4 linked regions of the Anolis sagrei genome follow. The main gene of each other region encodes a partner of the protein of the gene in region 2 in a complex. Links are inferred from orthologs where the notes say so. Each region holds a gene or a part of one and is shown on either strand. Other genes may lie near its edges. The genes, in order: FGFR1, FGF23, FGFR4 and FGFR3.

Region 1 (7,367 bases), on a different chromosome or scaffold from region 2:
ATTTGAGTCGCCCTCCTCTGGACACATTCCAGCTTAGAGTCAATATCTCTCTTGAATTGTGGTGCCCAGGATTGGACACAATATTCCAGATGTATGCCAGTTGGAAGCCGCCCTGAGTCCCCCTTCGGGGGTTGAGAAGGGCGGGGTAGAAATACCCGAAATAAATAAATAAATAAAATATTGTATCCCATGCAGTTGTGGACAAGGCTACATAGGGACCCCCAAACGCAGCAGCTGCGTCCAAATACGAATCCAGGAACACGAAAGGCACTGCAGACTACTCCAACCAGAGAAGTCAGCCATAGCAGAGCACCTGATGAACCAGCCTGGACACAGCATATTATTGGAGAACACAGAAATGCTGGACCACTCTCACAACCACCATGTCAGACGACACAGAGAAGCCATTGAAATCCACAAGAAGCAGGTGGACAATTTCAATAGAAAGGAGGAAATCATGAAAATGAACACAATCTGGCTACCAGTATTAAAAAACTCTAAAATTATAACAGTAAATAAAGACAGGGGAGCTCCAGACAAGAAACAATCAGGGACAGCTAATCACCTCTCAACAAAGGATGTCCCCAGGCAGTAAGAAGCAACACCTTTCATCACAAAACCTCTAAACTGATATCTATCATTCCAAAGACTGCATTTATCTCTATCACAGGCCCCTTCTATGCTGCCGTGTAATCCAAAGTAAACCATCCACATTATCTGTTTTGAACTGGATTATATTAGTCTACACTGCCATATAATCCAGTTCAAGAAGATAATCTGGGTTTTATATGACAGTGTAGAAAGGGCCAACAGTTGTATATAAACAGAGCACCAAAGAGACACAGGTCCAATCTGCACGGCCACATAATCCAGTTCCTGAATTGGGATTAGCTACTTAGAAGTGGATTTTATGGGGCTGGAGCTACACTGCCATATAGAATGTAGACTGTCTGCTTTGAACTGGATTATATCACAGTGTAGATCCATCCCCATATAATTCAGTTCAAACCAAATAATGTGCATTATCTGCTTTGATAATCTGGATTATATGCCAGTGTAGATCCAGCCCCATATAATGCAGTTCAAACCAAGCAATGTGCATTATCTGCTTTGATAATCTGGATTATATGGCAGTGTAAACCCAGCTCCATATAATTCAGTTCAAAGCAGATAATGTGGATTATCTGCTTGAATAATCTGGATTATATGGCAGTGTAGATCCAGCCCCATATAATTCAGTTCAAACCAAATAATGTGAATTATCTGCTTTGATAATCTGGATTATATGGCAGTATAGATCCAGCCCCATATAATTCAGTTCAAACCAAATAATGTGCATTATCTGCTTTGATAATCTGGATTATATGGCAGTGTAAACCCAGCTCCATATAATTCAGTTCAAAGCAGATAATGTGGATTATCTGCTTGAATAATCTGGATTATACGGCAGTGTAGATCCAGCCCCATATAATTCAGTTCAAAGCAGATAATGTGGATCATCTGACTTGATAATCTGGATTATATGGCAGTGTAGATCCAGCCCCATATAATTCAGTTCAAACCAAATAATGTGCATTATCTGCTTTGATAATCTGGATTATATGCCATTGTAGATCCAGCCCCATATAATTCAGTTCAAACCAAATAATGTGCATTATCTGCTTTGATAATCTGGATTATACAGCAGTGTAGATCCAGCCCCATATAATTCAGCTCAAACCAAGCAATGTGCATTATCTGCTTTGATAATCTGGATTATATGGCAATGTGGATCCAGCTCCACATAATTCAGTGCAAAGCAGATAGCGGCTGTTAGGAATTGTGGGAGTTGAAGTCCAAAACACCTGGAGGACCCAAGTTTGCCCATGCCTGGTCTACACTGTCACATAATCCAGTTCAAATTAGATAAACTGGATTGTATGTGTGGATGGGGCCTGGATTATACTGCAATGTAGACTCATATAGAATCCTGGGGGTTGGGAGAGACTTCCTGGGCCATTATCCAGTCCACCCCCGTTCTGCCAAGAAGCAGGAATATTGCATTCAAACCACCCCTGACAGATGGCCACCCAGCCTCTGCTTAAAAGCCTCCAAAGAAGGAGCCTCCACCACACTCCCTCCGGGGCAGAGAGTTCCACTGCTGAACATAGAATCCAAAAGTTGGAAGAGACCTCATGGGCCATCCAGTCCACCCCCATTCTGCCAAGAAGCAGGAATATTGCATTCAAATCACCCGACAGATGGCCATCCAGCCTCTGTTTAAAAGCTTCCAAAGAAGGAGCCTCCACCACACTCCCTCCGGGGCAGAGAGTTCCACTGCTGAACATAGAATCCAAAAGTTGGAAGAGACCTCATGGGCCATCCAGTCCAACCCCATTCTGCCAAGAAGCAGGAATATTGCATTCAAATCACCCGACAGATGGCCATCCAGCCTCTGTTTAAAAGCTTCCAAAGAAGGAGCCTCCACCACACTCCCTCCGGGGCAGAGAGTTCCACTGCTGAACATAGAATCCAAAAGTTGGAAGAGACCTCATGGGCCATCCAGTCCACCCCCATTCTGCCAAGAAGCAGGAATATTGCATTCAAATCACCCCTGACAGATGGCCATCCAGCCTCTGTTTCAAAGCTTCCAAAGAAGGAGCCCCCACCACACTCCGGGGCAGAGAGTTCCACTGCTGAACAGCTCTCACAGTCAGGAAGTTCTTCCTCATGTTCAGGTGGAATCTCCAGTTCAAAACAGATTCAGAAACTGGATTATATGGCAATGTAGACCTAGCCATATTTGCACTTGAGCATCCCTTGAGAGCTGCAAAAAATGTGTTCTTGTGACCGTACACGCAGCCTGAAATCACTCCAATTCATCAACGGCTTGGAAACCAAACGGCACCCCAATACTTCTGTTCCTACCTTGCTCTGGCAGGGTTTGCGCTGGCCTTGCAGTGGTCAGTGTGGCTGTGACCAGCACAGCCCAAAGGAGGAGGCACTTCCACGTCAACATCCCAGATCTGTGGCTACAGGTTGGAAACGCTGCTCCCGGACTCCATGAGGACTTGGACCTTGGGCCTCGATGGGCAAACGGGAGATGGACTTCTTCTCGCTTGGATCTGCTCAGCTCTTTGCTCTCCAGGGCAGAGGCATCCAAACACTGGGGACAAAGAGAGAAAAGCAGAATGAAGGGTCAGGAAGCCAAAAGTTCTTATTCTTCCCAAGCTCCATTCTCCCCAATATGTTTACATTGTCAACCATCTATATCAGTGGTTCTCAACCTTCCTAATGCCACGACTCCTCAATATGCTTCCTCGTGTAATGGTGACCACCAACCATAACATTAGTTCCATTTTGCCACTGTTATGAATAGTAATGTAAACCTCTGATATGCAGGATGTATTTTCATACACTGGACCAAATTTGGCACAAAGACCCAATACACCCAAATCTGAATACTGGTGGGATTGGGGGAGGGTACTGATATTGTCCTGTGGGAGTTGTAGTTGCTGGGATTTATAGTTCACCTACAATCAAAGAGCATTCTGAACTCCACCAATGATGGAATTGAACCCAACTTGGCACACAGAACTCCCACAAGCAACATAAAATACTGGTGAGCATTGACCTTGAGTTTTGGAGTTGTAGTTCGCCTACATCCAGAGAGCACTGTGGACTCAAACAATGATAAATCTGGACCAAACTTAGCATGAATTCTCAATATGCCCAAATGGAAACACCAGTGGGGTTTGGGAAAAATAGACCTTGACATTTGGGAGTTGTAGTTTGTGGGATTTATAGTTCACCTACAATCAAAGAGCATTCTGAACTCCACCAATGATGGAATTGAATCAAATTTGGCACACAGAACTCCCATGATCAAGAGAAAATACTAGAAGGGTTTGGTGGCATTGACCTTGAGTTTTGGGAGTTGTAGTTCGCCTACATCCAGAGAGCACTGTGGACTCAACCAATGATGGATCTGGACCAAACTTGGCACAAATACTCAATATGCCCAAATGTGGACACTGATGGAGTTTGGGGAAAATAGACTTGACATTTGGGAGTTATAATTCCTGGGATTTATAGTTCACCTACAATCAAAGAGATTTCTGAACTCCATCAAGGATAGAATTGAGCCAAACTTCCGACACAGAACCCTCATCATCAACAGAAAATACTGTGTTTTCTGCTGGTCTTTGGTGATGTTTTTGACACCCCCTCACGACCCACCTCAGGGGTCCCAACCCCCATGTTAAGAAACACGGTCTTAAATACTACAAAGGAGAAAGGAATTCATTCTAATTTGCTTTCCACCCCCAGAAAATGTAATTCCAGAGGCAGGAAGTGCATTTTTTTCAGGAGGTGGAAGCAATCCAGTATGAATCACAGATGCAACATTAAAACATAATTTAGCAATCCAGGCACGAGGATCAGTCACTCTTAGGTTTGGGTAACCCCCTTTCCCTTCTTTTTCCAATACAGAGGTAAAAAGGGGAGGCATCTGCAGCGTGGAATTCATTCAGTTTGACACCACTTTAGCTGCCATGACTCAGTGCTATGGACCGTTCCCTGACCTACAAGAAGCACTGCCTGAACATCAAACAAAAAGTGGGTGCTAGAAACAATATCATACGAAAGCTGACTGGCACAACCTGGGGATCACAACCAGACACAGTGAAGGCATCTGCCCTTGCGCTTGGCTACTCTGCTGCTGAGTATGCATGTCTAGTGTGGAACACATCTCACCACGCTAAAACAGTGGATGTGGCTCTTCATGAGACATGCCGCATTATCACGGAGTGCCTGCGCCCTACACCACTGGAGAAATGACACAGGCACCACCTGACATCCTCCGTGAAGTAGCAGCCAATAGTGAAAGGACCAAGGCAGAGACATCTCCAGCTCACCCCCTGTTTGGGTATCAGCCAGCACGTCAACGACTTAAATCTAGAAATAGTTTTCTTAGATCTACAGAGACACTCGCTGGAACACCCCAGCAAGTGAGAGTCCAAAAGTGGCAGGCTCAAACCCAGCACGTCAACCAATGGCTGATACCAAATGAGAGACTCCGCCCTGGGCCCACAGAGGACTGGGCGACTTGGAAGGCGCTGAACAGACTGCGCTCTGACACCACGAGATGCAGAGCCAACCTCAAGAAATGGGGCCACAAAGTGGAGTCCACGACATGCGAGTGTGGAGAGGAGCAAACTACAGACCACCTGCTGCAATGCAACCTGAGCCCTGCCACATGCACAATGGAGGACCTTCTTGCGGCAACACCAGAGGCACTCCAAGGGGCCAGATATTGCTCAAAGGACATTTAATCAGCTACCAAGCTTGCAAACTTTGTGTTGTTTTTTTATCTGTTTGTTTGTTTTGTTCTGTTAGAAATGTAATACAATGTTCTGGTTGCGGATGACACGAATAATAAATAAATAGTGCTATGGATTCCCAGGAGTTGTAGTTTTACAAACTTTAGCCTTCTCCGCCATAGGGAGCTGGTGCTATACCAAACTACAATTCCCAGAATGCCATAACATTAAGCCATGACAGTTAAAGCAATGTCAAACTGCACTAATTTGACAATGTGGATGCTTCTTGTTACATTCAAATATACAGTATTATGATTCTTTTGTGTTTCAAGGAACCTCGAAACCTGTTTGGAAATTAAGGCTGTTGGATTAAGAAATGTTAACCTGTTGCAATCAGTTGTTTGTATTGCTCATTGCTATGCCTTTTTTTTTCTTAGTGGTAACAGAATGTCAAGGTATGAGGGTTGACTGAAAAGTAATGCCTCCACCTTCATTACTTGGGTTTGGATGGAAATATTTTAATAAATCAAACGCAGAAATAATCCTTAGAATGTGCTCTTTAACTACCACTATTCACTTTTCCACATAATCACAAGACAATTGGATACATTTCTGCCAACGATGAACAAGTTTTCTGAAGCCGTCACGGAAGAAGTCGACACTCTGTTTCCGCAACCAGCATCTCACAGTTCTTTCATCCTGGGTATCCATCGTGCACAGATCTTCCGCAATAATGTGGCCCACACGTTCTTGTGAAATGCCGATTGTGCTTGAAATTTCTCTCCGAGTGATACGACAATTGTCCTGAATCAATCTGTCAACCTTTTGCTTGTGAAACTTGGTGGTTGCTGTCACAGGATGTCCAACTCTTTGTTTGTCACGCAAGTCAGAACGAAAAACCTTCATTACTTGGGTTTGGATGGGAATATTTTAATAAATGAAACACAGAAATAATCCTTATAATGCTTTTTAACTACCAGTTTTCACTTTTCTACACAATCACCAGATAATTGGATACATTTCTGCCAACAATAAACAAGTTTTCTGAAGCCGTCACAGAAGAAGCCGACACTCTGTTTCCGCAACCAGCGTCTCACAGTTCTCTCATCCTGGGTACCCATTGTGCATAGATCTTCCGATAGCCAAGGAAAGCAATAATGTGACCCACACGTTCTTGTGAAATGCCGATTATGCTTGAAATTTCTCTCTGAGTGATACGATGATTGTCCTGAACCAATCTGTCAACCTTTTGCTTGTGAAACTTGGTGGTTGCTGTCACAGTACGTCCAACTTTTTGTTTGTCATGCAAGTCAGAACAAAAAACCTCCATTACTTGGGTTTGGGTGGGAATATTTTAATAAATGAAACACAGAAATAATCCTTAGAATGTGCTCTTTAACTACCACTATTCACTTTCCCATATAATCACCAGACAATTGGATACAGTTCTGCCAACAATGAAGAAGTTTTCTGAAGCCGTCACGGAAGAAGTCAACACTCTTGTTTCTGCAACCAGCATCTCACAGTTCTCTCATCCTGGGTACCCATCGTGCATAGATCTTCCGATAGCCAAGCAAAGCAATAATGTGACCCACACGTTCTTGTGAAATGCTGATTATGCTTGAAATTTCTCTCTGAGTGATACAACGATCATCCTGAATCAATCTGTCAACCTTTTGCTTGTGAAACTGGGTGGTTGCTGTCAGGGGACGTCCAACTCTTTGTTTGTCACACAAATCAGAACAAAAAACCTTCATTACTTGGGTTTGGATGGGAATATTTTAATAAACGAAACACAGAAAGAATCCTTATAATGTGCTCTTCAACTACCACTATTCAGTTTTCTACATAATTTCCAGACAATTGGATACATTTCTGCCAAAGATGAACAAGTTTTCTGAAGCCGTCACAGAAGAAGTCGACACGCTGTTTCCACAACTAGCATCCCACGGTTCTCCCATCCTGGGTACCAATCATGCACAGATCTTCCGATACCAAGCAAAGCAATAATGTGACCCACACGTTCTTGTGAAATGCCGATTGTGCTTGAAATTTCTCTCTGAGTGA
Region 2 (7,952 bases):
CCTGTTCAAAAAAAAGGTTGGGAATCACTGATATAACACATGCATATGGGAACCAAATGCCAGGGATATGAGATTGTGCTCTCGAACTTTGAATGACACTGACATGGTATTTTTCTAAGGGATGTCTCATGTTTTATCATCAATAACTATCCCTAGATATTTTACCTGGAGCTATCTAACTTAGGATAATTTAGATCATTAGGATGGAGGAAGGATCTGTCAAAAGACCTAACATTTTTTGAAAGAGGGGTGTCAATTGGACATCTACTCAAACAATGAAGGTTTACCAACAGGTTTAAGCATTTGAATGTGGTCTTGGTCATTTTCTCTATGTTCTTATGTATATTTTAGTTGCTCAGCATTTCCCTCCATTTTCTCTGCTAGCAATGCTGATGGTGATGAACATGCAGAAAGAGGTAGGGGACATCCAACATTAATTTTATTTGTCTCAGAAGAAGAGGAGGTGTTTTAATAAAGAAGTGAAAGAGACAACCGCTTCTTGGGAAGCACAACAGAGTTATTTACTCCAAGCTTCTGGTGCAAGCCCTGTTGTATGATGTAATTTTGCTAAATAATTTTATATGTGGAGCCCCCGGTGGCACAGTGGGTTAAAGCCCTGTTCCAGCAGGACTGAAGATCAACAGGTCGCAGGTTCGAATCCGGGGAGAGGCGGATGAGCTCCCTCTATCAGCTCCAGCTCTTCATGCGGGGACATGAGAGAAGCCTCCCACAAGAATGATAAAACATTAAATCATCCGGGCGTCCCCTGGGCAACGTCCTTGCAGATGGCCAATTCTCTCACACCAGAAGCAACTTGCAGTTTCTCAGGTCGCTCCTGACACGACAATATATATATATATATATGTATAAGCAGACTTACCGATCCAAAGATGTTCCCATTCATATCCATACAAAGGAAACGTCCACTTTTCACACCATTTATTATAACATAACCAGCAACTTCGGATTTGATCATCAAGGCACCTGAAAATTAAGTTACTGAATATTAGAAAATTATTTTAATAACTTCAGTTGCAGATGGTGGCGGTTGACTGGCCAGAACCAACCACAAAATATGTTTGTTTCCCTGGCAGTCCTATCAGATTTCAATCATGTTACAAAATAATGACTGTCTGCAATAATAAAAAAGTTGTTTCAAATTATAACAAATAGGTCTGTAAGATAGGAATCCTCTGTCTAAAGACCTCCAGATAATTATTCATATTATTTTTATTATTAACTTTTTAAATACCCCATCTTTCTCCCTGTGGGGACTCAAGGTGTTTAACAATCCCACACTTTACTCATTGTATAAAAATTCCAATACAAAAGTTAAAAAACAATTAAATAGTACAGTGTAGATTAAGATAAAAACAGATTGAAATATAATAAATACATTTAAAATTGTCTTTGAAACTCAGAGAAGAGTCTACAGTGCTCATGACAGTATATTCCACTCTTGCCAATAAAATTTCTTCCTAACATTTAATCACGATTTTTTTCTTTTTGTAATTTTGTAATTTTAGTGTACTGGTTTATAACAGTAAATTAAAATTACCCTCACGGTTTTCTGAAGTCTCCAAAAATTAAATTGTGTGTCTTAATCATGATATTGCTCCACATTGTTAATGATAGGTATCACAGGTGCTTTGTTCTACCCAACTGCTAACTCTCTGTTTCTTACTTTGACTCACTTTCCACAAAATATGCTTCTCTCCCTATGTGTGCTTTCTCTATTCTCTAGTAATTACCTTCCCAAAAGGAACATCTACTCCTGCCCTCTTCTGCCAGGCAGGAATGCAAGCTACAGCGCCATCACCTCTCCATTTTCTCTTCTCCAAGCTACATGTATCTAACTTCCCATGTTGTCCCTTAATCCAGAAAGCACTGTGGACTCAAACAACATGGATCTGAACTAAACTTGGCATGAATACTCAATATGCCCAAATGAAGTTTGGGGAAATAGACCGTGTCAAACTGCAAGAAAGGAGATTCCATCTGAACATGAGGAAGAACTTCCTGACTGTGAGAGCTGTTCAGCAGCGGAACTCTCTGCCCCGGAGTGTGATAGAAGCTCCTTCTTTGGAAGCTTTTAAACAGAGGCTGGATGGCCATCTGTCGGGCGTGCTTTGAATGCAATTTTCCTGCTTCTTGGCAGGGGGCTGGACTGGATGACCCATGAGATCTCTTCCTAAGTCCAATCCCCAACAGTGCAGGATCTCTAGTTAGAGCATCCCCAGCAGGTAACTGTCCAACTTTGTTTTGAACGTGTCCAGAGAACACTTTGTGCAGTTGATCCCATTGCTAACCTCTATGATTCTATGATTCTATTTGGAGTTGTAGTTGCTGGGATTTATAGTTCACCTACAATCAAAGAGCATTCTGAACCCCACCAACAAGAGAATTGTGCCAAACTTCCCACACAGAAGCCTCATGACCAACAGAAAATACCGTGCTTTCTGATTATATTTGGTGACACCCACCCTCTGACACCCACTCACGACCCCTCCAGGGGTCCCGACCCCCAGGTTGTGAAACACCGATTTAGTGCTAAGTGAGAGATTCAATATAGTTTTTATACCTTTACTATGAGGAATATAGTAAACTTAAGTTTAGGATACAATTTCTAGAATCCCCCAGCCACCATATCCAGCATTTCTGGTTCTTCTTCACATTATTTCTCAGACTACTTCTATGGTACTTACTGTAAATGGTTTGATACGGACTTCCATCCACGTAGCCATTGGAGTGGATTTGCAGGTGGAAGCTATTTCTTGCTGTGGAGGTGTACAAGTGCAGCAGGCTGTCTGAATTTCCCCAGTTGCGGCTGAGCAAAGGCGATGCATTGGGGAAAGCAGCAATTGCTTTCCAGCTACATGTTGCAAACAGCATATATTTGAGGAAGCTGCACAGAGTAGCCATGGTATTCCTCTCTGACCTGCAACTTGATCCTTTTCCCTGTCCACAGCCACCCACCTTCTGCCTTCCTTTCTGCTGGAGTGTGATGCCTCAGACAGGGTCCCAACAGCCTTGCAACAGTTTTATAGTTGTTGAGCGGCTTGTGGGGGTGAGGCTCTTTCTGGGCAACATGTTGGGAGTGTCCTTAGACCTCAACAACTCAGGAAAAAGGGGAAAAAACATCTGCACATGGGTTTCTCAGAGAGGTTTCTGTGGTTTCCAAAGTAAACTTTTGGGCACTAATGACATGTTGAAATGTTATCTGAAAAAAACCTCTGACATCAGAATGCTTCCCACTGTCTGGATTAGGACCAACCCATTCATTTGTGATGCAATGGCATCTCCATTCTCCCCCTTTCTCTACAGCTGTTTCTGTATACCTGGGTTGTTAAACGTAAGGTCCGAGTATCCGGTGAGGCAATGTTGACTCTGGGATGGCACTAAGGCACACGTCCTACACAAATGATCAAGGCAAAGCTAGGAAGCAAAAAAAGTACAATCCCCATATCCACAGGGAATATGTTTCCTGACTTCACAGAGATACAAGAAACCACATACACAAGTAAACCCTGTTAATTCAATGGGATGAACAGTGGAGAGACCAGGAAGAAGGGGTATACAAGAGGCCTTTAGCAGTGAAGACGTGAAGCCATGGATAAGTGAAACTGCATGTATTTGTTCCGTGGATATGGGGGTTCTTTATTCTTAAAGGAACTTGACTTTTAAAAACTCGGCTACTACAATGCTACAATGCTGTCGCTTGATGCTCAGGTGTCGGAAGTGGCTGGGAGGGCCTTTGCACAACTCAAACTTGTGTGCCAGCTGCAACCATGCCTTGTGAAGTCTGACTTGGCCAGGGTGGTCCACGCCTTGGTTACATCCAGATTGGACTATTGAAATGCGCTCTACTTGGGGCTACCCTTGAAGACGGCCCGGAAGTTTCAACTGTTACAACGGGCAGCAGCCAGGCTCCTAACTGGAGCAAACTATAGGGAGCATACAATGCCCCTATTAAAACAGCTTCATTGGCTGCCTATAAGTTGCCGAGACAAATTCAAGGTGCAGGTCATGACCTATAAAGCTCTAAACGGTTCGGGCCCCGCCTATCTCCGCAATCTCATCTCCTTCTATGAACCAGCACGAACTCTAAGATCTTCCAGGGAGGCCCTCCTTTTGCTCCCACCACTGTCACAGGTAAGGTTGGTGGGGACGAGCGAGAGGACCTTCTCATTGGTGGCCCCCCGCCTCTGAAACACCCTCCCCAGGGAAATTAGACAGGCTACATCCCTCCCCTCCTTTCATAAGAGCTTGAAGACCTGGTGGTTTCAACAAACCTTTGAGAATGACTAGTTCTAGCTCAACCATAGACATTGTTGAATATGGCCTTATTATTCCTACCAATTACCCAGGCCACTTACTCTAATAGGTCCCAGAAATGAATTGGCCATATACCCTACTATAGCACTGCACTTAATTCCCGGGCCCTCTAGAATTTTTGAGCTTGCACTAATCTCGGCCCGGTCTTTTAAATTGTCTTGAACTGGCAGGATTACTTTTAATATATGTGTGTTGTGGCAAAAAAAATATATGCTTATATTGTTTTGTTAATCTTATGGTTATGTTGTTTACTTTATATGTTTTGATGATTTTACTTGGAAACCGCTCTTAGTCCCCCCGGGGAGATAGAGCGGTATATAAATAAAGTTTTTTAATTTTATTATTGTTACATAGAACACTGGGCTCTTTCCCCCATATCTCTTAGATTAAAACTGTGGTTGTTTACATGCCATTACAATTGGAAGAGACCCCCAAGAGTAATGAATTCCAAACCCCTTCTACCATACAGAAATACACAATCCAGTCCTCCTGAGAGATGGCCATCTAGCCTCTGTTTTAAACCTCCTGAGAAGGAGACCCCAGCATACTCCAAGGCAGGAACATATTCCACTGTCAAAATGGTGCAAAGGCTAAATAGAAAGTTAAAAGTGTAATTGCAAATACTTAAGCTGTAGTTTGAACTGATAAACAGAATATCTTCTTGCTTGTTCTTCTGTTATAAAGACTTAGGAGTGCCCTTTTTAAATACATTAAGGGCTGGGCTGGCAAGAAGAGGAGGGGTGGCATGTCCTCTGCTGTCCCAGAGGATAAAGCCAGGTCTGATAATTTTAAGTTCCAAGAGAGTATGTTTCAATTGAATCTTAGAAGGAACTTCTTGGAGAGAGCAGGTTAGCAATGGGATCAACTGCACAAAGTGTTCTCTGGACACGTTCAAAACAAAGTTGGACAGCTACCTGCTGGGGATGCTCTAGCTAGAGATTCTGCACTGTTGTGGATTGGACTTAGGACTTCATCACATTGATGAGGTTCCCCGTGCTGATTCACCAACCTCCATGGCGAATTGGCTGGGCAGTGGGGCAATCCCGGCACCCTGCGCCTCACCCAACCATGAGTGACACTTCCCCTTCATACGTGAGGAAGCATCATCACATGGTTTGTCCCTGCAGTAGCTCCATTGTTCCAAATGAAACACAAGGAGGATCATGTGTTGAAGGTGCAATGTCCTACCATGTTGCTACCCCAGTTAAGCAACAGAGCCCTGGTGGAAGGGAGCTACATCATGTGATAGGTGGTGTGGGGCTCCATTGCTCAACTGAGGCAAAAGCGTCCTAGGATGCAAAAAAGATCTCGTGAGATCAGGTCCATAATGGCTGATGAAGCCCCTTCCAACTCAGTGACCTGTAATTTTATTATTCTAATAGTTAAATAAAACTTTACTAAATTGAAAGTATTAAATCAACAAGAACCACTTAAACTCAGAGACATTATTAGCAAAAAAAGAGGCTTGGCTAAGGGTTTCCAGAAATGTACTGGTGCTGATTCCAACAGAGCATGTGATAGCCGTACCTTGGAGGATCATGGCCCCTAGATCTTGAAGCAGCCCCCACAAGTGAGGATCTTTGGCGGTGGGCTCCCTACCTATCACTATCACTCAACACCAACCTTAAAAACTGTGGCATAGATACTGAGAACTGAGAAGCCGTGGCCTTTGAGCGCTCTAGCTGGAGGTCAGCTGTAACCAGCAGTGCTGTAGAATTTGAAGAAGCATGAATGGAGGGCAAGAGAAACATGCCAAGAGGAAGGCATATCAAGCCAACCCCGACCGGGACCGCCTTCCACTTGGAAACCAATGCCCTCACTGCAGGAGAACATGAGGGTCAAGAATAGGGCTCCACAGCCACCACCAAGATACATCATTTGGAGGATCATCATCCTCAGATTACGAGGGATCATCTAAGTAAGTACTAAGGGTAAAATATATAAATTTAAACAATAACACAAAAGTAATATTTATATTTACATATAAATCTCAAAGTATATTTTCTAAGCCACCCTCACTGGCCTCATTGCTTCATACAACCTCATCACACAGATGAACCCACATCCATCCATCTCCCATGCCATTTAGCCAGCCTCTGGGACAAAACGGCAGGGATGTGGGGCAGTGGCGACGGGGGAAGCGGCAACGAAGTGGTGCTGAAATGTGCTGGCTCCACTGGAGCCAGCATATCATAGGAGCTTTCCAATGTTAAGAGGAAAGCATCTTACGGCACTTCAACAGGAAGTCGAGGAACATCATGTGATGGCCAGTGTGCCTATCTGTTGCTGTACTGTCCCTTTAACATCCTGGAATGCTTAAAAAAGGTAAGTGTGATGTGCTCCATACTTACTCCCCATGACATTGCTAGCAAAAGGCAACTCATTAAAGGTTTTTAGACAAAAAAACATCATTTATTTATGTATTTATTTACGACATTTATATGTCGCCCTTCTCACCCCGAAGGGGACTCAGAGCGGCTTACAAGTAATATGTAAATACAATATATTATATTATTACCATAGCACAATATTAATATTATATATTACTATATTGTACTATAACACTATAGTGTAATATTATTAGTAATATTACATATAATATAAAATATATCATTATAATATCATATTTATTAGTAGTATTATACAGGGTTAGTCAAAATGAATAGGCCAATAAGAAAATTAATTGTAGCCGAATGTATGTTTACTGTAACCAAACCACAGCTACGTAGCGACAGATAAACTATCAAAGTTTTTTTTTAGCAACACACATGTACGTTAATGCCGCTAGGCGTCGCTAGGAGTCGCTGTTTTCAAAATGGCGGAATCAGGCAAAGAGAAGGTGCTGCATTCGATGCCATTACGTCGGATGTGCTGCAACGGATGTGGAATGAACTGGACTATCGCTTGGACGTCTGCCGTGTCACACGGGACGCCCATATCGAACATCTCTGAAGGTGAGACAAAACTTTGATAATTTATCTGTCGATACGTAGCTGTAGTTTGGTTACAATAAACATACATTCGTCTAAAATTAATTTTCTTATTGGCCTATTCATTTTGACTAACCCTGTATTGTATTACATTATGCAGCAGCCCAAGGCTTGCACTTTTCAACCAACTTGTCATCACTGGCAAGTCCGTAGTAAAATAAGGAAATGGCTTGTGCTGTGTACAGAAGAAGAGATACTGGAAGTTTTTTGAAAGATTCAGGTCTGATAGAGAAGGAAGGTGTGACTGAAACTCTGAAGTTCACTGGAAATTGAACAAGTAAACTGGACCTGAAATGAACTAGTGCTGCACCTACTGTTTAATGAGTGTAGTTTGATACCACTTTTAACTGCCATGGCTCAATGTAAGAGTTGTAGTTTGACAAGGTCTTTATTAGCCTTCTCTGTCAAAAGGTAGTGGTGCTTAATCAAACTACAAATCACCTTTAAAGGCAACATCCAGAGTCACAATTGGACAGTAAAACCTTTAAGTAAATTTACTTTAGCTTTGCAATATAAGCAAACACAGCTCAGCAAAGTTGGACAAGCAGCACTGACCTGACAAGGACTTTTGCAAGCTGCGGTAGAAGGTCAATCTGCGCTGTGTGCTGGACAGAAATTGAACCGGTA
Region 3 (7,708 bases), on a different chromosome or scaffold from region 2:
AAACTGGTCATCTTCTTTCTCCCAACAACAGAGACATCCCCACACTCTCACCCGGTTCTGTGGTTCCTCCCATGGGAGCAGCTGCTGGCCAAGCACATGTGGTTGCCACCACTGCCAGAAACTTCAGAAGGCCACACAGTATGGTTCTCATCCTGTCGTTTCTTCTTGACTCCAGTAGAAATGTAAAGCCCTGGATCAAAGAGAGGAGAAAGTCATACTCAGCCCTCTGGATTTTTTCCACTCAACACACAATGAACCACATATCCTAAGTTCATACCCATCTAGAACTGCCAATAATAATGGCTTGCATGGATGCAGGAATAGCAAAGGAGAAACATGTTTATATAGACATTGACTCCTGTAGCCAGCCATGATTGGCTGCTAGACATTCTCTTTGGAAGGAAAGGGCCGCCAGCAGGGATTTCAAATAAGGGACCGATTTGCTAACCATTCCCACAAGAAAATAAGTTCAAAGAAATGCTAATTTATTTCTTGGGGAGCACATGGTTTGCCATCCTTGCAATTTTACCACTCTTCCTTTGAGAACTGGCTACACTTCATTCAAAGTTCTAGACCAATAGTTCTCAAACTATGGTCCTCCAGATGTTTGGAAAGAACTGCCTGCATTGGCCTCACCAACTAGGACTTTCAGGAGTTCAACTTCAAAACATGCAGAGCAGCACTGCTTCTTAAACTGTGGGTTCCAGCCACAAATGGGGTTCCCTTAGCTCAGTTGGCAACAGAAAAGGTTTCAGACATTTACATGAATCTGTTAGCAACCATGAGCAGCGTTTACAGTGGGCTCTGCAGAAAATGCTTCAGCTGTACTTCATAAAAAGGAAAACCAGCCTGTTTAGCAAGTCTTGCCAATACTGATGTGTTGTCAGGAAATGTTTGATTTTTACATCTATTTTTTACACATATATACTTGGGGTTATGTAAAGGATCTAGACAAGGCATGGACAAACTTTGGCCCTCCAGGTGTTTTGGACTTCAACGCCCACAATTCCTGGCCTCAGGCTCTTTCCTTTTTCCCCTCAGCTGCATAAGCAGCTGATGGGGAAAGGAAGGGGCCTGAGGCCAGGAACTGTGTGAGATGAAATCCAAAACACCCGCTTAAATGGCTGAGGGGGAAAAGGAAGAGGCCTGAGGCCAGGAATTGTGGGAGTTGAAGTCCAAAACATCTGCTTAAGTAGCAGAAGGAGGAAAGGAAGGGGTCTAAGGCCAGTGATTGTGGGAGGTCCAAACACCCGCTTAAGCGGCTGAGAGGGAAAAGGAAGGAGCCTGATGCCAGGAATTGTGAGAGTTAAGTCCAAAACACCCGGAGGGCCGAAGTTTGCCAATACCTGATCTAGAGGACTACATTTTGAGGACCAAATGTAAGTGGTGCTCTCTGGACTAGGACCAATTCCCGGGGCATGAGCTGTCAGTTCCTGGCAAATGACCAGGAAACAAAGGAACAATGCCAGCCAATGGCCCCTATTATGGTGATGGGTCCCTGGTCCAATGGAGGGAAGTAATAGCTCGGTCCCCTGTATCAAATAGACTGAGAAGTGCAGCTGGACCAGGGGGCCCTTCGCAATGGGCATCAGGATGTTGGTCCCTGCCTCTCTGCTTCCCAAGAGGGCAGGAAGATTCTGCCACCTTTTCCCCTTTCTGCCCAAATCTCAGAGGGACATCTTTGGTTGTGAGCCTGGGTGGCTGCTCCAGGGCAGCACAAGACAAACAACAAGAGGGGAGAGCCTGGGGAACCTTAGGACCGGTAAACGAGGAGGGAAAACGGGAGGAAGACGGTGGCTTCATGGGAAGATGCTGCGAGCAGGGCAGTCCCTTCAAGGCGGCGCACCGGGGAGAGTCAGGACGAGGAGCTCTCCCATCACAGGGATCATCCTCCCTGGGATCCGGGTCACCTTCCCGGGAGGATTCGGATTTTTTTTCCGTGTCAGGAGCGACTTGAGAAACTGCAAGTCGCTTCTGGTGTGAGAGAATTGTCCGTCTGCAAGGACGTTGCCCAGGGGAAGCCAGGATGTGTTGATGTTTCCCCATCCTTGTGGGAGGCATCTCTCATGTCCCACTACGGGGTGCTGGAGCTGACAGAGGAAGCTCACCCGCGCTCTCCCCGGATTCGAACTTCCGACCTGTCGGTCTTCAGTCCTGCCGGCAGAAGGGTTTAACCCACTGCACCACCGGGGGCTCCTTTCGGATGCCGCTTGGAAGGAAACGGGGGAAAGTCTTGCGCCTGGAGCGAGGCGCGCGTTTCAAGGGCGAAACGAAGTAAGTTCCCAGCCAGGCGGAGCGGAGGAGATGCGAGAGAGTGAGTGAGAGGACCAGGGGAAGGAAGAAAGAGCTCCCCGGTCTCCCAGGTGGTTTAATCTTTAATCCCGCGATCTCAAAGGGGGCGGGGGGGGGGAGCAAAAGACCTCTGGTAACAGATTGACAGACCTTCCCGGTCAAAGTCCGCCCAGGGAAGAGGGCTCTCGGCCCCGCCACGCCCCGGGGAGCCTCCTGGGTCGCCAAAGGTACTCTCCATCCACACCGCCCGAGAAGGCAGTCCCAAACTATAAGCCAAGGGACGAGGCAACCCGAGTGAGTCCAAGGGCCACCAAGCTTTAACCGCCCGCCCCCCTCCCCTCCGCTGCACCAAACCCGGCCCGAAGGCGCCCTCCTCACCTCCTCCTCCGCCTTCGGCTGCTGCTGGTGCTGCGGCTTCGGGGTCCCGCTAACTCCTGGAAGCTGGGGCTGCGGAGAGGCGCTCCATCCTCAGCTGGCCGGCCAAGGGAGCGAGGCGCCTCCCGCGCGGAAAGGGAGATCGATCCGGAGGAAGAGGAGGAGAGGTTTTTTCCCCCACCTCTTTCTTTCCCTGCCCTGGGAGGCGGAGAGAGCCCCGAACGCGCGCCCCGAGGGTCCCGGCTCCCTTCCCTTGCGCCCTTCTGCCGAAGTCGGCAAAGGCGTGGGGACTTTGTAGCCCCAGGGCTCGGGTGACACCCCCCTCCCTCTCTCTCTCCCTCTCTCGCCTTCCTGCCTTCCCCTTCCCCGCGCGCGGACCCCAGCCAACAATGGGCCGCCAAAAGAGCCAGCGAGGGAGGGGGCGGGGCCCGAGGGACTCCCCTCCCCGCCCCGCCCCCAGGGCCCCTCCCTCCCTCCTTCCCTCCCTGCGCGGCAGCCCCTCCCCTCCTCCACCCCCCCCCCCCCTCCAGCGCCTTTTCACACTCACATTAGCTAAATTCTCTCCCCCAAAGCTCCGGCAAAAGGGATTAGGCCGAGTTCATTCCCTGCTGCCCTCGCTGGGCTTCCTCTCCCGCTCGCCCTGGAAACCGGAGAGACCAAACCAGGAGCTCTTCCTGGGGAAAGGCCACAGGGTTTCTCAACCTTCCCAATGCCGCGACCCCTTAATACATACAGTTCTTCATATTGTGCTGACCCACAGCCATAACATTGTTTTTGTTGCTGTAATTTTGCTACTGTTATGAATCGTAATACTAATACCCGATATGGAGGATGTGTTTTAATTCACTGGGCGAAATTTGGCACAAATACCCAATAAACCCAAATTTGAATACTGGTGGGGTTGGGGGAGTTGATTTTGTCATTTGGGAGTTGTTGTTGCTGGGATTTATAGTTCACCCAAAATCAAAGAGCATTCTGAACTCCACCAGTGAAAGAATTGGGCCAAACTTCCCACACAGAACCCCCATAAACAACAGAAAATACTGGAAGGGTTTGGTGGACATTGACCTTGAGTTTTGGAGTTGTAGTTCACCTACATCCAGACAGCACTGTGGATTCAAATAATGATGGACCTGGACCAAACTTGGCACGAATACTCAATATGCCCAAATGTGAACACTGGTTGAGTTTGGGGGAAACAGACCTTGACATTTGGGAGTTGTAGTTGCTGGAATTTATAGTTCACCTACAGTCAAAAAGAATTCTAAACACCACCAACAAAAGAACTGGGCCATACTTCCCACACAGATACTGTGTTTTCTGATGGTCTTTGGTGACCCCTCTGACACCCCCCTTGCAACCCCCGCAGGGGTCCCAACCCCCAGGTTGAGAAATGCTATTTTAAAGAAATGAGATCATTTATTGTTTTATTTCATTTAATACCCCGCCTTTCTTCCCTTCAGGGAATTCAAGGTGGTTTACAACTGCGGTACCATTCAATAACGGTAAAATCTAACAGTAAAAACAATAACACACCCCCGCCATTAAAACACTTAATAATTAGTTAATAAACACATTCAAACATATAAAGTGCCTAGTTCCAGTCATCCAAAATCCTTGTTCATAGTCCATATTCAAACCGTGTCAAAGCCCATAGTCATTTATATGTGCAAAGCCATGTCTTTAACTTTTTTCTAAAAACTAGAAGGGATGAGGCCTGCCTGATGTCACTGGGGAGGGAGTTCCACCACTGAGAAGGCTCTGTCATCCCCACCAATCACACCTGTGAAGAGGGTGGGACCAAGAGCAGAGCCTCCCCAGCCAATCTTAAAGTTCTAGTAGCCTCATACAAGGAGACATTTAGACAGGTAAATTGGACCAGAACCATTTAGGGCTTTATAGGCCAAGACCAGCACTTTAAATTGAGCTCAGTAGCGAATCGGCAGCCAGTGGAGCTGATTAAACAGGACAGTAGTATGCCCCCTGTATGCCGCTCTGGTTAGAAATCTGGCTGCCACCCATTGGACTAATTGAAGCTTTCGGGCCTTCTTCAAAGGCAACCCCACGTAGAACGTGTTGCAGTAGTCTATGCTAAGTGAAAGGATAGGCAAAAGAAAGTGGAAAGAGTGTGGGGTAGAGAGGGTGATTTGTTGCAAAGGGCCTTTTTTGCCTGAAGATGAAAAGGCAGATTGTGCCCCCTTGGAACTCCCTGCTGTGTATGTTCAGATGACTGGTTCCCAACCTTTTTTAATTATTATCAGGTACCACTTGACCAGGGACCACTTTAACCAGGGACCACTCAAACATTAGTACCAAAAGGGTTACAAATCAGTTTTTGGTCAATTTTAAATTTGGTTTACTTATTTGGGGTGCTGATTCAGAAAATTGCATTGGATAGGCCACATCAGCTCTAGTTTCTGATGCAGAACATAGGCCATCCATTAATCGCCATTTGTTCGCCCACAGAAAACCATATTTAATAAGCCTCATCACTATAAGAGCATTTCATGAGACCAGCCACTCTCGTTGCAACGGGGTAGTAATGGTGAGGACCATATTTTAGTTCTCCCGGACCACTGGTGGTCCACAAACCACAGGTTGGGAACCACTGGTTTAGATAAACTTCATTTGGGCTACTATGTGCCTTGAAGTGGTACATCTACTGCAGAATTAATGCAGGCAGACATCGCTGTCACAAAGGACTACCACCCAGGCCCGTAGCCAGGATTTCAATTGGGGGGGGGGCTGAGTTTGTTTCGGGGGGGGGGCTGTGTCTGAGTGAAAGAGGGTCTACCCTAGCAAACCTTTTGTATCGTTACCCCAATACCCCCATGCATATGGGATATATTGAGCATGGTGATCAGATCATGATATGAATAAACATAACAGTTTAAATATTGCACCAGTAAGGCCTTTTTGCGAACCACCATGAGAATTTCGGGGGGGGGGGGGTTGGGGTTGAAGCCCCTCAAGCCCCCCCCCCCCCCCCCCCCCGCTACATGCCTGCTACCACCCCACTCGCCTCATAGGAAATCTACAAAACAGGAGCTTTTTTGTTGAATTCCACGGCCAGAGAAGCAGATGGTGAAAACAGAAGAACAGCATCGTAACTATCAGTGTTCAGGATGACTTCAACATGCCAGTCCCCTTGAAAGCAATTTTCTAATCTGGATTTCAGAACATCATCCCAGCTGTGAGATAGATGTAAGGCATGGATATGTGTCACATGCATTTACACACACATTCCCTCCACTGGGAAATTGGGAAACCAATATGCCTTTGAACATTGCATTCAGCGGAGCCCAGATAACTGCCTTACTTAGCTTAATGAGAAGACTTGTCACAGATGACTTGTCTCAAATGTATGCCAAAAATCATTATGGGAACGTGAAGTTAGAAGCAGCTGCAGGAGTTGGGAGGCAAATAGTTAATCTGTATTCTGACAGCTGCAGATGGACACAGCTAACTGATTCTTTCTGCAAGACCCTCTGTAAACCCAGCTAGAAATTTCAGGCTGCACAAAATTATGGTTGGGATGTTATGATGGTGGGGGAGAAGTACCCAGATGTTGGTTTCATGCAAAGAACAGAGCTTTAAAAATAATGTTTGGGAACAGGAAAAATAGTGTTTCAGAGCATGTACAGAATGCTTCTTAATTACTCCCAGCCATCATAATGATATACCGGCTTTCCCACAACCTGTCACTTTCCAGAGGTGCTTATGAAGTAGATCCACTGGAGATGATAGCAGACAAATCTAATACATTTGTCTGAGGACATGGGTTTGCCAGATTGCAGAAAGGCTGATAGGCACAACTGAGGGTCCATTTACACCAGTGGTTCCCAACCTTATTTTTTGACCAGGGGCCACTCTCCAACATTAGTACCAAAAGGGTTATGAATCAGTTTTTGGTCAACTTTAGATTTGGTTTGATTATCTGGGGTGCTGATTTAGAAAACTGTATTGGATAGACCACATCAGCTCTAATTTCTGATACAGAACAAATGCCATCCAGTAGTCTCCATCTGTTTGCCCACAGAAAACAATATTTGATAATCTGAATCAGCACCACAAATAACCCCAGGAACAGGCCTAAAAACAAAGACATCAGGGCATCCCCTCTTCCAGACACCACATGGAATGGCTCGGCTCAGGGGAAGGAAGGAAGGAAGGAAGGAGGAGGAGAAGCAGAAGTCAGGAGGCTTGTTGTTGCTTTCATGGGTAGTCAGCCTCTCCCCTCCCGATACAGCCGTGTAGTAACAGTGAGTTCCATGGACCACTGATCTACACTGTAGAATTAACATTGTTTTTCTTTACTTTAATTGCTGTAGCTCAATGCTATGGAATCTTGGGATTTGTAATTTGGTCAGGCATCGGCAACTTTTGAGAAAGAAGGCCCTTGTAAAACCTCTATTCCCATAGCACTGAGCCTTGGCAAATAAAGTGGTGTCAAACAGCATTAATTCTACAGCATAGATGCAGCCTCTGGCTGACTATTAGAAGAGAAGGTGTGGTTTTCAGGTTGCATTGACCTCTGTCCCCCTTTCTTAAACTAGTGTTAGGAAATGACCCTCCAATCTGCAGCTCCATGCATAGCAAAGAAAGACCTGCCTGCTTTTCTGCCCTTCACAAATCCATACAGCAGTCAACCAATGTCTCTATTTCAAGAGTCTTTAATTTTAAAATGTAGTCCAGCTCCCCCAATCTGGAAGACACCAGTATGGGGGAGCCTATTTTAAGACAGTCACAAGCATCTTTGTTGTTTTTGCTGCCACAAATTAACACAAGCCATCCCTCTCCGGAAACACTTTGTGTCCTCAAGTTCTACGAAAAGGAAAACGGCCCAGCCCCAGCGTAATAAAAACAGGGAGTTCAAATGCCTTTCGGGGGGGGGGGGGGGAGTGTGAAGATGGCAACCTCTCCACCTCCTTTTGAAAAAGGCGAAGAGGCCTTCCCCGAGGCTCAGTCACACAGGGAAGCATTTGGAGGAGCCAAGTTGTCTGTGCAGGTTATCACCGTGTGAGGAAGGTTATCCACTGGG
Region 4 (7,064 bases), on a different chromosome or scaffold from region 2:
AGATTTGGAACTTCAGCAATGCAACGACTTAAACTTGGATGCAAAGGATGGGAGCCAGCCTTCTTGAAAGCAGAGCTAAGATTGCACACCTCAGCTCAGGGACAGGGTCCTCCTCCAGGTTAGGCCCAGAACACAAGAAGTCTCCAGGTGTGAACCCCAGAAGGTCCTATGCAGCCAGAAACATGGAATCTTCAGAGTTAAAAGAGACCACAAAGCAATCCTGAAAAATGACCTGTCAATCTCCATTTAAAGACTTCCAAAGATGGAGAATCCACCACTTTCAGGAGCATCATTCAGTCATTCTGCCTTCTTGTTCTCCTCCATAAGTGATTTTTCTGCCTTGATAGCCTTCTTAAGTAGCATAGCAAAGTAATTTGTTATTTTCTAAATGAGCTTCCATCCGTTCAGATGACAGCTGAGCTACTATTCATGCTTAACCAGGCATGTCAACAAGTAGCTCGTAATACCTGCATGTCAGTATCCACCAAACTTAATTTATTCAATAATGAACAACCAACTTGATGTAATATCTTGTTTAACCCAGAGGGGAGAATTATGCAGCCCTCCAGATGGTGCTGAATTGGGAATTCCAGAAGTCTTTTATCAGCAGAGGCAGCAGGATGAGGAATGACGGGGAAACTACACGTTTCACACCCTTTTTTGAACCATTAGTAACAGGAACCTCATTTGGTGATTAGGAAGCAGTAATCAGTCTTTCTGACTAAAGTTACGAGTATAGTCATTTGAGAAAAGAAGAAACGAGACATGCTTCTTATCTGCACTTCTGATTACTGCAAAAACATGGAATGAGAAGACTATGCTGGGAAAATATGTAATTGATCAGTTCAACTCGCAACAAGTTAATCACCATTGTTTCAATTCACAACTCTCTATATATAAAAGTTAAAGCATGTTCGCATGACTCTTTGAACCAGAAAAGGTGATTGCTAGGTGAAGTGGCCCTCTGTGATGTCACGGGGTGACAAGGGGATGGGAGGGAGGAAGGAAAGAAAAAAGCCACAAAGAGAGCCTGCCCACCCTTGCTAGAGTGTTGGTAAGCCTTCTCAGAGCTGGAGAAGGGGGAAAGTCAGTGGGCAGACAAGTATACTCAGCTAAAGAATGGAAAATGGAATGTCATAGAATCATAGAGTTGGAAGAGACCACATGGGTCACCTAGTCCAACCCCCTGCTATGCAGGAAAAGCATAATCAAAGTATCCCTGACAGATGACCATTCAGCTTCTGTTTAAAAGCTTCCACTGCACTTTGAGTCAGAGAATTCCACTGCTGAACAGCCTGTACAGTCAGAAAGTTCTTCCTAATGTTCAGGTGGAATCTCCTCTCCTGTATTTGAACCCATTGCTCCGAGTCCTAGTTTCAAGGGCAGCAGAAGACAAGTCTGCTCCCTCTTCCTTATGACACCATTTCACATATTTATATGTAGTGGACAGCAAGAGATTTAAATCAAACCTTTAAAAATGTGGAATAAATATTGTAACTGGAGGTCAGCTGCTACCAACAATGCTGTGGATTTTGAGGTATGAATGGAGGGTGAAAGGGAGAAAGTGTCAAGAGGAAAGCGCCTCAAGCTAACCCTTGTCAGGACCGCCTTCCATCTGGAAATCTATGTCCTCATTGCGAAAGACTATATGGATCCACAATAGATCTCTACAGTCACATATGGACCCAGGGCCAAGACAATCACAGGCCCCTTCCACACAGCTGTATAAAATCCACATTGAACTAGATTATATGGCAGCGTGGACTCAGACAATCCAGTTCAAAGCAGATATTGTGGATTTTAGAAAGAGCTAAAAACTTGGTCCTTTCTGTAGGCCTTTGATAATGTTTTCAACAAGATGATATGGTTTTTATATATGTTTTATATTGTTATGTTGATTGTTTTTAATCGCACTTTTATGAATGCATGCCATTGAATCGTGCCAATCTGTAACCTGCCTTGAGTCGCCATATGCTTGAGAAACGTGGGCTATAAATGTCGTAAATAAATAATAAAGAAATCTTTAAGATAGCAGCCAGACAACTATCTTTAGCCAGGGAAGGCTAGATTGACTGTATGGATTTTTAATTAACAACTATTGCCATATTTTATCGATTCTATTGCTCTTGTTAATTTTATATGTCTGCTTTTAAATGTGTTTTGGTTTTAATGTTGATATATTGCATTTTATATGTTGTATGGGAGATGGTGGTAGGCTATAATAAAATATTATTAGTATTATTACTATTATTATCTGCCTTGATATTCAGGGTTATATGGCTGTGTGGAAGGGCCCATACTTGGCCTCAAGTTATTGCCTATGATGATGACATATGTTAGTAGTTCATATAAAACTTGGTATGGTATCAACATCCCCTTTCAATATGTGCAGTGTGACTACGGAATGGCCTTGGACTCTGACTCTAGATGACGTGATTCATTGAAATGGATTTTATTTTATTTTTTATTTTAAACCATGTTTGTAGTTGGATACTAGCCATCCCCTGCCACACGTTGCTGTGGCCCAGTCTGTGTATATATATGTGCGTGTATATATATGTGTGTGTGTATGTGTGTTTGTGTATATATGTGGTTTTGAGCATGCGTTTTAATGTTTTTTGTTTTGTTTTGGGGCTTTTTAAGTCTCTTTCGCTGTGTTTTTCAGTGTTTTTATGAGTGATGGTCACTCATTGGCCTAATAGGTATATTGTGTCCAAATTTGGTTTCAATTCATCCAGTGGTTTTTGAACCACTGTTAATCCCACAAAAAACTGTTAATCCCGCAAAAAACATTACATTTTTATTTATATAGATTGTATGTTGTGAGCCACCTTAAGTCCCCCTCAAGGTAGAAAGGTGAGATATAAATAAGGTAAATAAAAAAGGAGTTCCTGGTGGCACAGTGGGTTAAACCGCTGAGCTGCTGAACTTACTAGCCTTAATGTTGCAGGTTCGAATCTGGGGAGTGAGCTCCTGCTGTTAGGCCCAGCTTCTGCCAACCTAGAAGTTTGAAAACATGCAAATGTGAATAGATCAATAGGTACCGCTCCGGTGGGAAGGTATGGGCACTCCATTCAGTCATGCTGACCACATGACCTTAGAGGAGTCTACGGACAATGCCAGCTCTTCGGCTTAGAAATGGAGATGAGCAGCAACCCTCAGAGTTGGGCACCACTGGACTTTATGTCAAGGGAAAACCTTTACTACCTTTAACTAAGTCAGGGGTCCTCAAACTTTTTAAACAGAGGGCCAGGTCACAGTGCCTCAAACGGTTGGAGGGCAGGATTATAATTTTTTAAAAAACATGAATGAATTCCTATGCACACTGCACATATTATTTGTAGTGCAAAAACACTTAAAAACAATACAATAATTAAAATGAAGAACAATTTTAACAAACATAAACTTATTAGTATTTCAATGGGAAGTGTGGGCCTGCTTTTGCCTGATGAGATAGGATTGTTGTTGTTGTTGTGTGCTTTCAAGTCGTTTCGGACTTACGTTGCCCCCGAGTGTGGGCCTGGTAAATGACCTTGGAGGGCTGTATCTGGCCCCCGGGCCTTAGTTTGAGGAACCTTGAACTAAGTAAATAAATAAATATATACATACATTTCAGTCAATGGAAGTCTCAAGTGACTGCTCTTCCTGGGACACAGCAGAGTCCAGTCCGTCCTGCAGCTGTGGGGCTATGAAGAGGAATGCTTACCTGGAACAGAGTCATTGCTCTTACCTGGAGAACATATCGACATTCCCTGCACCGGCTCCTGGTGCGCATTCCCAGGTAGTCTCCCCGGGGAAGGGAGAGGGGTGAGCGCGCGCTGTGCCCCTGCCTCGCGCGCGGGAGGGAAGGAGGGAAAGGCGACTCCCCATTGGCTGCGGGGAGTCCTCGGCTCCGCCCCTTTCCTCCGCGCGAGGCGGTCCGCGCAGGGCTGGGCGCAGAAGGGCTCCAGCTGCGGTGGCAGAAGGCAGCAGCCTCGCTCTCGCGCCCGCTCTCTCCCTCTCCCCAGGTAGGCACCGCGGGATGGACGGGGGAATTCAGGCAGACTGGGAGGGGTAAAAAGGCGGGGGAAACAACTCACCTGAATGTTCTCTGACGAGGAGCCCTCAGAGTCCTTCCTCTGACAAGTCTCCTCAACCTCCTGGCGCTCGCGGACGGTGTCCCACCCGTGTTGAGGGGGGACCTGGTGCCTTAAGGCTGGGTAGGCGTGGGTTTCAATTGACACTCGTTCGTTTTGCAGGCGGACAGCTTGGCGTCCCTCTCGACCGCTTTTTCTGACTCAGCGCCTCCGCTCTTTGCGGCTTCGCTGGGGCTGAATCCACACGGCTTGCAGATTCCAGGGCCGTGTGGATCCAGTTCAGTCTGCATTCTGAAACAGCGTTATAGAGCTATGCGGATCCAACCTGAGGCCCCCTCTACACTGCCATCTGATTATTATTATTATTATTATTATTATTATATTTGAGTTGTTGTGAGTTTACCAGGCTGTCTGGCCATGTCCCAGAAGCATTCTCTCCTGATGTTTCGCCTACATCTATGGCAGGCATCCCTAGAGGTTGTGAGTTGTGAGTTTTCCAGACTGTATGGCTATGTTCCAGAAGCATTCTCTCCTGACATTTCTCCTGCATCTATGGCAGGCATCTTCAGAGGTTGTAAGTTGTTGTGAATCTTCCAGACTGTCTGGCCATGTTCCAGAAGCATTCTCTCCTGACAATTCGCCTGCATCTATGGCAGGCATCTTCAGAGGTTGTGAGTTTTCCAGACTGTATGGCTATGTTCCAGAAGCATTCTCTCCTGACATTTCTCCTGCATCTATGGCAGGCAACCCCAGCGGTTGTGAGTTGTTGTGAGTTTTCCAGACTGTGTGGCTATGTTCTGGAAGCATTCTCTCCTGACATTTCGCCTGCATCTATGGCAGGCATCCTCAGAGGTTGTGAGTTGTTGTGAGTTTTCCAGACTGTATGGCTATGTTCCGGAAGCATTCTCTCCTGACATTTCGCCTGCATCTATGGCAGGCATCTTCAGAGGTTGTAAGTTGTTGTGAGTTTTCCAGATTGTCTGGCCATGTTCCAGAAGCATTCTCTCCTGATGTTTCGCCTACATCTATGGCAGGCATCCCCAGAGGTTGTGAGTTGTGAGTTTTCCAGACTCTATGGCTATGTTCCAGAAGCATTCTCCCTGACATTTTGCCTGCAACTATGGCAGGCATCCCCAGAGGTTGGCAGGCATCCCCACAGGCCTTGGCCATTGTAAGCCGCATCGAGTCCTTCTGGAGATTTTGCAGGGTATAAATAAAGTTAATAATAATAATAATAATTGTGAGTTGTGAGTTTTCCAGATTATATGGCTATGGTCTGGAAGCATTCTCCCCTGACATTTAGCCTGCATCTAAGGCAAGGCATCCCTAGAAGTTGTGAGATCTCACAACCTCTGAGAATGTTTGCCCTAGATGCAGGCAAAACATCAGGAGAGAATGCTTCTGGAACATGGCCATACAGCCTGGAAAACTCACAACAACCCAGTGATTCTGACCATGAAAGCCTTTGAAATATATTATTATATTTATTTATTTATACCCTGCTTTATCTCCCCAAAGGGGATTCAAAGCGGCTTGACATGAAAAGCATTGGCATAAAAATGTATACAATCCAGATTATCTGATTTGAACTGGATTGTATGGCGGTGTCAACCCGGGGGTGAATGTAAATAAAAGAGAGGGAATGTATAGTACATGTCTATATAACTGTATTTTTTTCTCAAATAAAAGTTTATTAATAAAATAAAATAAGTAATCCAGTTCAGAACAGATAATCTGGATTTCATAAGGCAGTATAGGGATACCTGGCCCATCGCTGGAGGTCAAAGTAAGAGTCAATCCCATAGAAGAAATGTCAGAAACTGCATAGTTTTCACATGTGGCAATGAGAGCGGAGAATGTCCCCTTCAAACATCCCTCATCTTAAACCTTATCAAGGGGAGACCTGTGGCACGTGGAAGCTTCCAGACCTTAGGTTAAAAACCAAAACTACTTAGTGTATTGCGTTGTCGAAGGCTTTCATGGCAGGAATCACTGGGTTGCTGTGAGTTTTTCAGGCTGTGTAGCCGTGTTTCAGACCGCTTCTGGAACATGGCCATATAGCCTGGAAAACTCACAGCAACCCAGTTAATGTGTTGTCGAAACTTTCACAGCTGGAATCACTGGGGTGTTGTGTGGTTTCCGGGCTGTCCGGCCGTATTCTAACAGCATTTTCTCCTGGTGTTTCGCCTGCATCTGTGGCTGGCATCTTCAGCGGGTCTGAAGTGGAGTATATATACCTGTGGAATGTCCAGCGCAGGAGAAGAAAACCATTCTCTGTTAACCAATGTCAAGGGTGCAGTTAGCAAGCTTGATTTGCAACCGACTGGAAGCACTCAGATGTCTGCCTGTTGTGTCTTCTTGCAGGGTGTAGCCAGACCTTGTGGGGCCCAAAAGGAGGCCCTCCAATCCAGCCGAAGGGGCAGCATGCATCTGGAGGATGGCTGAGGCTGGCCACCACAGCAGCACCACAATCACTGCCCAGGGTGGCTCCTCTGGGCAAGGAATGCCTGCAGTGTGGGGAGCACTGCTTTGCTTTTTCCTGGTGGCAACCGTCAGCAGCCTCCCCTCAGCCCGACCATCCGCTTCGGACCCTGAAAACAGGTTTACCAGAGAGCCATCAGGTAAGAAAGTTTGTGGAACAGAAGAGCTATTTCCACCCTCCGCTATGAGCCATGTGCTGTTTCTTGCTGGGATCTCTAGCTATCCTTTTACCTTCCTGTCCCTTTGCCATCAACAGCCCTTGCATTCAGTCTGTCAAATGTACTGTGTTACAGACAAGGTAGCACGAAGGAACTGCTCCTGTTTGGCTGGCTAGTCTAGTAGTTATCTGCTCCTCCTGAGCATGCCCCAGTTTCAAGTTGGGAGAAACATAGATTACTTTTGCAACTGATGGAATCATGCTGGAGTTTGGAAACATTTCCTGTTCCTGATTTGAAAGTGTTTTTTCCTATTTAATTGTACAATACTTACTTTGAAAGTCATTGTTAT

Evidence for each region.
Region 1: the proteins of FGF23 (region 2) and FGFR1 are in contact, whole or in part, in a cryo-EM structure (PDB 7YSH), measured with the Homo sapiens proteins. The link is inferred for Anolis sagrei from reciprocal best matches to the Homo sapiens genes FGF23 and FGFR1. Residues at the interface, in NP_065689.1 of Homo sapiens: Leu31, Leu32, Gly33, Ser34, Trp36, Gly37, Tyr43, Ala45, Thr46, Ala47, Arg48, Asn49, Ser50, His52, His66, Ile75, Arg76, Ser77, Glu78, Asp79, Ala80, Gly81, Val83, Val84, Tyr93, Phe108, His117, Gln118, Thr119, Asn122; in NP_075598.2 of Homo sapiens: Glu159, Lys160, Glu162, Lys163, Lys164, Leu165, His166, Ala167, Val168, Pro169, Lys172, Gln244, Asp246, Val248, Glu249, Arg250, Ser251, Pro252, Val279, Tyr280, Ser281, Asp282, Pro283, Gln284, Pro285, His286, Ile287, Ala314, Gly315, Val316.
Region 3: the proteins of FGF23 (region 2) and FGFR4 are in contact, whole or in part, in a cryo-EM structure (PDB 7YSW), measured with the Homo sapiens proteins. The link is inferred for Anolis sagrei from reciprocal best matches to the Homo sapiens genes FGF23 and FGFR4. Residues at the interface, in NP_065689.1 of Homo sapiens: Leu32, Gly33, Ser35, Trp36, Gly37, Tyr43, Ala45, Thr46, Ala47, Arg48, Asn49, Ser50, Ile75, Arg76, Ser77, Glu78, Asp79, Ala80, Gly81, Val83, Val84, Tyr93, His117, Gln118, Thr119, Asn122, Gly123, Tyr124, Asp125, Leu158; in NP_001341913.1 of Homo sapiens: Glu156, Lys157, Lys158, Leu159, His160, Ala161, Val162, Pro163, Asn166, Asp240, Leu242, Glu243, Arg244, Ser245, Pro246, Lys272, Val273, Tyr274, Ser275, Asp276, Ala277, Gln278, Pro279, His280, Ala308, Asp309, Ile310, Ser312, Gly336, Asn337.
Region 4: the proteins of FGF23 (region 2) and FGFR3 are in contact, whole or in part, in a cryo-EM structure (PDB 7YSU), measured with the Homo sapiens proteins. The link is inferred for Anolis sagrei from reciprocal best matches to the Homo sapiens genes FGF23 and FGFR3. Residues at the interface, in NP_065689.1 of Homo sapiens: Ser29, Leu32, Gly33, Ser34, Trp36, Tyr43, Ala45, Ala47, Arg48, Asn49, Ser50, His52, Ile75, Arg76, Ser77, Glu78, Asp79, Ala80, Gly81, Val83, Val84, His117, Gln118, Thr119, Asn122, Gly123, Tyr124, Asp125, Leu158, Ser159; in NP_000133.1 of Homo sapiens: Glu157, Arg158, Asp160, Lys161, Leu163, Leu164, Ala165, Val166, Pro167, Arg223, Asp244, Leu246, Glu247, Arg248, Ser249, Pro250, Val277, Tyr278, Ser279, Asp280, Ala281, Gln282, Pro283, His284, Ala312, Gly313, Ala314, Thr316, Thr317, Asp318.

Annotation. Positions count from the first base shown.
Region 1 is NC_090027.1:2,236,356-2,243,722, forward strand, and holds the start of FGFR1 (fibroblast growth factor receptor 1), read right to left. Parts: upstream 3,095-7,367; 5' UTR 2,999-3,094; coding exon 2,908-2,998; intron 1-2,907. UniProt on the Homo sapiens protein: Tyrosine-protein kinase that acts as a cell-surface receptor for fibroblast growth factors and plays an essential role in the regulation of embryonic development, cell proliferation, differentiation and migration.
Region 2 is NC_090025.1:104,196,470-104,204,421, forward strand, and holds the start of FGF23 (fibroblast growth factor 23), read right to left. Parts: upstream 3,083-7,952; 5' UTR 2,923-3,082; coding exon 2,706-2,922; intron 985-2,705; coding exon 881-984; intron 1-880. UniProt on the Homo sapiens protein: Regulator of phosphate homeostasis. Inhibits renal tubular phosphate transport by reducing SLC34A1 levels. Up-regulates EGR1 expression in the presence of KL. Acts directly on the parathyroid to decrease PTH secretion. Regulator of vitamin-D metabolism.
Region 3 is NC_090022.1:77,267,243-77,274,950, forward strand, and holds the start of FGFR4 (fibroblast growth factor receptor 4), read right to left. Parts: upstream 3,056-7,708; 5' UTR 2,671-3,055; intron 191-2,670; 5' UTR 152-190; coding exon 52-151; intron 1-51. UniProt on the Homo sapiens protein: Tyrosine-protein kinase that acts as a cell-surface receptor for fibroblast growth factors and plays a role in the regulation of cell proliferation, differentiation and migration, and in regulation of lipid metabolism, bile acid biosynthesis, glucose uptake, vitamin D metabolism and phosphate homeostasis.
Region 4 is NC_090023.1:142,751,599-142,758,662, reverse strand, and holds the start of FGFR3 (fibroblast growth factor receptor 3), read left to right. Parts: upstream 1-3,935; 5' UTR 3,936-4,007; intron 4,008-6,440; 5' UTR 6,441-6,513; coding exon 6,514-6,697; intron 6,698-7,064.